Linked DNA regions of Macaca mulatta. Each later gene encodes a partner of the first gene's protein in a complex. Links are inferred from orthologs where the notes say so. Each region holds a gene or a part of one and is shown on either strand. Other genes may lie near its edges.

Region 1 (3,937 bases):
TTCTACTGGGCTACTCAAATAGCTCAGGCCACCACCTCTTTAGTAACACTTCCATAACCAAAGGTACCCCTACCTCAATTTCTCACAATAGTCCTTTCATTTACTGAATTAGTTGTCCGTTTTCTGGGTTTCAAAACCATCCTCTGCATATTACCTTCAAAGAAGGAATCACATTGCCCTCTATTTGTTTATAAGACACATCTCCCCTACTAGTTTTTGAACTCCTTAAAGGCAAGGCTCATCTTTATGACCCAGCTCATAGCACAGTATCTGATATTAGTAGGCATGCTAAAATGTTTGTGAAGTGATAAATACGTGTATGAATATGTTTAGACTTAGAAACAGCATCACAGAGATGGGTCTTTAGAAAACATTTAATACATCCCACTTCACCCAAAATTCCCTAAAGAAGTATTTCCAAACAGTTGTGTTATTATTAAAATAAGAAAATAATTTTCCATGTTCAATATAAAATAAACATTTTTCTAATGAAAATAGGATTAAATAAAAATCTTACCGGCAAAGTTCCAGGTAGAGATGCATCAAAAAAAGAAACCAAAGAATTTGGAGGTGCTGAAAAGCGAACTTGAGATCCAGAGAAGAGTTTAGAGTTGGAGGAAATCTGGGCATGAATTTCCAAACCTACCACAGCAGCCCATTTGTGTTCACTAAGAAGAAAGAGATAATGGTTAAGATGTAATTATGTTTGTCACCATGAATGAATTTCTGTAAGTCTAAACCACAAATGTTAATTTCCTATATGTGTTTTAAACTTATTACAGTGTTATATCCTTACATTAAAAATGTCATATTTTATCAGTGACTAAATAAAAACCAATTTAGAATAAGCGCCTACACTGAGATTGGCAAACTAAAATTCATTTACAACATGGCATCGGGAGGCTGATGATATAAACACGAAGGCAATAGAGAAAGGAACAATTTGGTGTCTTAAAACAATGTAGAAATGGGTATCAGGTGACAACTGCTTGGCTAACTTCAGTGAAAAGCAGCATTTAACAAATTAACTGTACCTTATCAATTAATCACTCAGTAAATGAAGAAAGCTGATCTTTCCCACATTATTTAGAATTAACATAAATGGCAAGATTCTACTACTAGAGAAATAATGATAAATAGTTCCACATTTCTTATTTAAAAAGGAAATTTGCAACCATGTTTTGAATTCCTTTCACAAAAACGGTTTGCAAGTATAATAACCAGAGAGACACAGATATAATAAATCACCACTAAATGATACTCTTGAAAAAATTTTGCTAAACCCCATCATATTAAACCATCTGATGTGGCATATTTTTGGTCCCCCATATCACTTGCAATTCCTGAGACCTAATTTCAGGTTACTTTGTTCATGCTTATTTGCTATGAAATCTAAGAAGCTATTAAATGCTATAATAATCCCTCTTATCCGGCCAGTCCTACTCTGTTGAGTCTGTACATAGGCCTCTCCAGGTCCTTATAAATGTGCTTATTCCCTGTGAAATCCATGTATGTTCCTATCCTGCTCTTCTCCCAAGCAATTTTGTGTGTATATGTGTATATATATATGTGTGTGTGTGTATATATATACATATATATACAGATTTTACATCATTTTGTTTTGTTTCAATAATTTCAGCACATAAACGTCTATATCTGAAGTACTGTAAGAATAAGTCCTTCTTTTTAAAGTTTGGAAACACAGCCCACAAGGGAGGTGAATTAAAGAAAGAACTCGTTAGAAATTCTGCATGCAGTAAAGCATCATTCAAAGTATTTTTGCAGTTCCATTACATGAGAGAAAAAATGTTCTTTCCATTCACAGGGAAACAATCTAATTCACGAAAAGAATACAAAACTGAATACTTCTTTCAGGACAATTTCCCTCTGTTTCTCCAACTGAAAGTAAAAATAATGCCAACCAGTCTCAAAGAATAAACAAAATATTAGAAACTTGCCATATGTTTCTGTATTTAAAGAGAAACTATTTAATTCTTACATAATGAAGCATAAACAGCTGTTCAGGGGATAATCTGGCCAAATAAGCAAAACTCTCTATATAACCCGAGGGAGTACCTCTTCTTTTGGCTGCGTCCTCCTAGGTCTAAACACACATATTCAACATAAAACGCCTGCACAGCTAGCTAGTGTTTTCTGACTAATGACAATAACCCACCACTTCCAGAGCTTGTAGGTAAAGGCTCCCTTTCTCCCTTTAGAACACTGCCGGCCCATACTAGCGCTAAATAAAATCAGCTAAATATGATCCCGCTTCTCCTGTCACCGTCCCCACTGCCAGTGCTATTAGTAAGATGACCGAATCCACTCTTCTGTCTGTGCAGCCTTCAAGAAAATACTTGCTATTTTACACTCGCGAATTCCCCAACTACGTCTATTTGAAAATAGTGGTTTATATATGGGGGCGGAGCTGATAGAGGGCCTGTTTTGTGCTTTTATTTAGGTTTCGGGGCTCCAGGTTATAACTCAACGCCCTCCCCTCAGCCAAAACGTCTAGAAGCTGGGCTGTAATTGCCATCCTTTCCCCAGTCCTGCAGTTCCACCTCAGTTAGGTGGGCAGAAATGGTATGAAACAGAATACCCTTTCCTCGGCTTCTGGGTCATGCAGAGGGGCTGCTGAGCCACTGAGCTCTGTCCCCTAATCCAGTTGGATGTGGACCCAGTCGGAGCCTCTCTTCGGTGGCAAGAACCGCCGTCAACCCGGGCGAAAGTCCAAAGTCTTCCACGGCCGACCCAGCGCAGCATGGGCGCCGCCATTGTAACGCCAGGGTCTTGGTCAGGTGACTCAGTCACACTGTGCCGCGAGGCTCCCTGGGAAGCGTAGTTCTGGAACTGTATTAAAAACGCTATAGGCTCGGACCGGAAGACTACTACTCCCGGCGAGCGTGGTGATTCGAAGCCTACCGGAACCCGGCGGAGAGGGGAGGGAAGGAGAAATAGAGGAGAGGGTGGGAGGGTTTCAGGGTGGGGAGGTGTGACTCCTCCTAGCGGGGAGTTGGAGAGGCTTGTGGCTCTGAGCGTGTATATATGAGTTTGAGTGTGAGCACTTGGTGCTTGGAGCTAAGAAGCGTTGCCGGGATTTTATAACCCAGTTAACCTTGCAAGGGGAAGTAAATGACCTTGACATCTCAGCAAAGACTTCCTGAGCCCCCAAACCTACTCCGTTATATTCTGTGTCTACTCCTCTACTTTGCTCAGCAATTTGTGCGTTAATGCAACAAATACTTATTTGCATGCCTACCGTAACGCCAGGCTCAGTTCCTAGGCACTGTAGTTACTGCAGAGATCAAGACAGTTAAGGCCCCCATGTTAATGGAGCTTACATTCTAAAGAAGGGAGACATACAGAAGTTAACAAAAATAAGATACTTCCATATAGGTAGTAAGTGCTATGTTTGAGCAGAGGTATTTAGAGAGAAACAGCCCTAGATTGAATGTTTGTGTACATTTTAACCTCCTTTTTATCATTGGCCAGTATCAGAAACACACTCATTGTATGCTAGGAGCAGATACCATCGTCCCAGAGGACTTCCTTCATTTTTCTGCATCAAAACTAATACCCCTTGTTAAAACTGCCACCGATTTTTTGTATTTGAACACAGTCTAGAGTAGTCATTTAGGCACTCTCTATTTCATCATCCTGCTTTGATTGTCCTCATAGTGCTTTTGACTACCTGATGCTTATCTTCTATTTCCACAAATTCCTTGTCTGTCTTACTCACTACAGTACAAAGTAGGTTCCTCAAAAATATTTGTTGAATAAAGTAGGGCAGTGTGGAGAATGCATTTGACAAAGGATGGAGTGGATGCCCTTTGGAGCAGTAATTGTTTAGGGGAGAGATGATTAATTAGGATGGCGGCAGAGGCAAAGAGAAATGGATCTATTTGAGATAGATATGGGAAGTAAAATTGAAGGACTC
Region 2 (4,014 bases), on another chromosome or scaffold:
CAACCTGGCCAACATGGCGAAACCCTGTTTATACTAAAAATACAAAAATTAGCTGGGCATGGGGGTGCATGCCTGTAATTCCAGCTACTCCGGTGGCTGAGGCATGAGAATAGCTTGAACCTGGGAGGCGGAGGTTGCCAGTGAGCTGAGATTGTGCCATTGCACTCCAGCCTGGGAGACAGGGAGACTCTGCCTCAAAAATAAAAACCAAAAGTACCATAATGAATAAATCAAGTGTAAGACCTGAGGGAGACTGGAAAAGGAGTTGTGAGGGAACCATTAAAATTAAGTGAAATTTGAAAAATAATCATCACTTTGTGTTGGTGAAAGACTTACTGGCTATGTGACCAACTAAATGGGATGAAGACAGCAACTACCTCGGGGAACTGCTGTGAGGATGTGTTGGGTTAACTTATTGGAAGTGCTTTGCCCAGTGCTGTTCTAACAATTCAAAGCAGTTCCACATCCATTGGGCCAGAATAAACATTTCCTAGTTGCAGTTGCGGGGACTGGTCAAGAGAGATAAACAGGCTAACGAAGGGTTTATAACATCAAAATAATGTGATCCTCCAGTCTGAAGTATAACCCCGCCCAGACCTCAGCTGTAATAGTGGAAAAGTGCACCACCTGCGAAAGAATCAAGGCAACCTGGTGCTAGTGAACTCGGATCAATCACTTCCTATTTCTGGGTGTTAGTTTTTTATGTATAAAATATGAGTAACTATACCCACCTTGCGAGTTTAGGATGAACACCAAATGAACCAAAAGATGTGACTGTGTGTCTTAAAAACAAAAGCACTGCACCAATATTTGTCATTCGGGGAGACACCCAAACGGCCTCGGTGGTGATGATAGGGGAGCGAGCTCCTGCCACTGACCTCACTGCGGCTTTTCTCCACCCTTCCAGTCCAGTCCCAACCCCCATAAAACACGACGAGTGTAGTGGGACACAGCGCGGAGAATGCGGGGCCTGGAAACAGAGGCGGAAGGGCTCACCTGAACACACTGCTGGTAGCGCTTGAAGAGGTCGGTGCACGGGTCCCCGGAGCTGTCCCCCTTGAGAAACTTCTCGGCGAACCAGCGATTGAAGCACTGGTCGTATTCGCGCTTCATGTCCGTGCATGCCTCCCCCACACTGTTCATGGCGACAGTGGTGTCGGCGGCGGCGGCAGCGCACTCTGATGTCATCACTCTTAGGCGCGTCGCTCGGCGTTACGCGCGGGCGCACTACGGGGGCCAAGGAAGGAAGAAATGTGGTCGCGGTTGGTGTGGCTGGGCCTTCGGGCCCCTCTGGGCGGGCGCCAGGGCTTCACGTCCAAGGCGGATCCTCAGGTAAAGGCCAGGGCCATCTAGGCGGGTGGCGGAGCAAGCCGGGAGGCACACCGGGGCGCCGGTGAACCACACTCCGTGCCTCATTCCTCCTCCAGGGCAGTGGCCGGATCACGGCCCAGGTGATCGAGCACCTGGAGCGTCTAGCGCTTGTGGACTTCGGCAGCTGCGAGGCAGTGGCGCGACTGGAGAAAGCTATCGCCTTCGCCGACCGGCTACGTGCGGTGGACACTGACGGGGTGGAGCCCATGGAGTCGGTCCTGGAGGACAGGTAAACTCGAGGCTGCAGCCCCGAAGCCTTGAGCGTGGCCCGTTCGCAGCCGTTTAATGTGACGATTAGCGAACAATTTTCCAGGGGGTTAAAGAGCGTTAGCGAGATTCAGGAACTTGCCCACGGTCACCTCGCGAGTCAGTGGCTTCACTCTTCCCCTTGTTCATTACGGATGCTCTCGCTCGTGTCGTCCTAGTGTAAGTAGAAACAAAACCCAAACTGCTCATCATCGCCTTTGTGTTTTTTTTCTTGAGACGGAGTCCAGACTGGAGTGCAGTGGCGCGATCTCGTCTCACTGCAAGCTCCGCTCCCGTGTTCAAACAATTATCTTCCTCAGCCTCCCGAGTAGCTGGGATTACAGGCGCCTGACACCACGCCCGGCTAATTTTTTTTTGTATTTTTAGTAGAGACGGGGACGGGGTGTCACCGTCTTGGCCAGGCTGGTCTTGAACTCCTGACCTCGTGATCCGCCCGTCTCGGCCTCCCAAAGTGCTGGGATTATAGGCGTGAGCTACCGCGCCTGGCCTAATTATCGCCTTTGAGCCCCTACTCCATAGAGTCCCTGCCTGCTCACTCAGACATACTCTTCTCAGTACCCTCCTTGGCTACCTTGACTGCGTCTCCAGCAAGACAAGTTCTTTCCCTCTCTAGATCTTTGCACTGACCCTTCGTTTTTTCCTGCCTCTCAGTATTTGCATGGCTGCCTCCCTCTTGGCACAGGTCTCAGCTTATCTTCTGGGAAAGGGCTTTCCTAACCACTGCAAATCCCTTCTCCCCTTCTGGTTAGTAACACATCCTATTGGGTTTTTTCCTCTAACATTTTAATGGACTTTTGTTCATTTGTTATATCTCTTTTATTAAAATGTGAGCACTTTATGAGATTTGGTTCCGGTTGCATTCCTGCCTCGAATTTTTATTTTTATTTTTATTTTTTTATTTTTTTGAGACGGAGTCTCGCTCTGTCACCCAGGCTGGAGTGCGGTGGCTGGATCTCTGCTCACTGCAAGCTCCGCCTCCCGGGTTTACGCCATTCTCCTGGCTCAGCCTCCCGAGTAGCTGGGACTACAGGCGCTCGCCACCTCGCCCGGCTAGTTTTTTGTACTTTTTAGTAGAGACGGGGTTTCACCGTGTTAGCCAGGATGGTCTCGATCTCCTGACCTCGTGATCCGCCCGTCTCGGCCTCCCAAAGTGCTGGGATTACAGGCTTGAGCCACCGCGCCTGGCCTTTTATTTTTATTTTTTGAGATGGAGTCTCACTCTTATCACCCAGGTTAGAGTGCAGTGGCATGATCTCAGCTCACTGCAACCTCCACCTCCCAGGCTCAAGAGATCCTCCTACCTCAGCCTCCAAGTATAGGACCACAGGCTCATGCCACCAGGCCTGGCTAATTTTTTTTTTTTTTTTTTTTTTTTTGAGATGGAGTCTCGCTCTGTCGCCCAGGCTGGAGTGCAGTGGCCGGATCTCAGCTCACTGCAAGCTCCGCCTCCCGGGTTCATGCCATTCTCCTGCCTCAGCCTCCCCAGTAGCTGGGACTACAGGCACCCGCCACCTCGCCCGGCTAGTTTTTTTTTTGTGCTTTTTAGTAGAGATGGGGTTTCACCGTGTTTGCCAGGATGGTCTCGATTTCCTGACCTCATGATCCGCCCATCTCAGCCTCCCAAAGTGCTGGGATTACAGGCTTGAGCCACCGGGCCCGGCCGCTAATTTTTTATATTTTTTATAGAGACAGGATTTTGCCATGTTCTCCAGGCTTGACTCTTGAGCAAAGGTGATCCACCCACCTCAGCCTCCTAAAGTACTGGGATTACAGGCATGAGCCACAGCGCCTGGCCCAGTGTTTGATTCTTTCAAATCTCTTCTCTACTTTGCAATTTTCTTTTTCCTTTTGGATGGGGTCTCACTATATTGCCCAGGCTGGTCACAAACTTCTAGACTCAAGAGATCCTCCTGCCTCAGCCTCCCAAATAGCTGGGACTGTAGGTGTGCACCACCACACCTGGCTAATTCTTAAATTTTTGTAGAAACAGGGTCTTGCTATGTTGCCCCGTCTGGTGTCAAACTCCTGGTCTCAAGCAATTCTCCTGCCTCAGCCTCCCACTTCCTAAAGAAAGTCTAACTTTTTTTTCTTTTTTTTTTTGAGATGGAGTCCTGCCCTCTGCCCCATTGCCCATGCTGGAGTACAGTGGCACGATCTCGGCTTACTGCAACCTTCACCCTCCAGGTTCAAGTGATTTCTGTGCCTCAGCCTCCGGAGTAGCTGGGATTATAGGCATCCGCCACCACACTCAGCTAATTTTTGTATTTTTAGTAGAGGTGGGGTTTCACCATGTTGATCAGGCTGTTCTCGAACCCCTGGCCTCAAGTGATCTGCCCATCTTAGCCTCCCAAAATGCTGGGATTACAGGCGTGAGCC

The links. Proteins that work in one complex are often made in the same cells at the same time.
Region 2: GATB (region 1) and GATC share a complex: the UniProt entries of both Homo sapiens proteins name them as parts of the heterotrimeric GatCAB amidotransferase (AdT) complex. The link is inferred for Macaca mulatta from reciprocal best matches to the Homo sapiens genes GATB and GATC.

The regions. Positions count from the first base shown.
Region 1 is NC_133410.1:160,355,175-160,359,111, forward strand, and holds the start of GATB (glutamyl-tRNA(Gln) amidotransferase subunit B, mitochondrial), read right to left. Parts: upstream 2,801-3,937; 5' UTR 2,776-2,800; coding exon 2,600-2,775; intron 669-2,599; coding exon 518-668; intron 1-517. UniProt on the Homo sapiens protein: Allows the formation of correctly charged Gln-tRNA(Gln) through the transamidation of misacylated Glu-tRNA(Gln) in the mitochondria. The reaction takes place in the presence of glutamine and ATP through an activated gamma-phospho-Glu-tRNA(Gln).
Region 2 is NC_133416.1:127,756,479-127,760,492, forward strand, and holds the start of GATC (glutamyl-tRNA(Gln) amidotransferase subunit C, mitochondrial), read left to right. Parts: upstream 1-1,214; 5' UTR 1,215-1,251; coding exon 1,252-1,332; intron 1,333-1,427; coding exon 1,428-1,600; intron 1,601-2,712; exon of another isoform or gene 2,713-2,881; intron 2,882-4,014. Other genes in the region: TRIAP1 (TP53-regulated inhibitor of apoptosis 1), read right to left, coding at 997-1,143. UniProt on the Homo sapiens protein: Allows the formation of correctly charged Gln-tRNA(Gln) through the transamidation of misacylated Glu-tRNA(Gln) in the mitochondria. The reaction takes place in the presence of glutamine and ATP through an activated gamma-phospho-Glu-tRNA(Gln).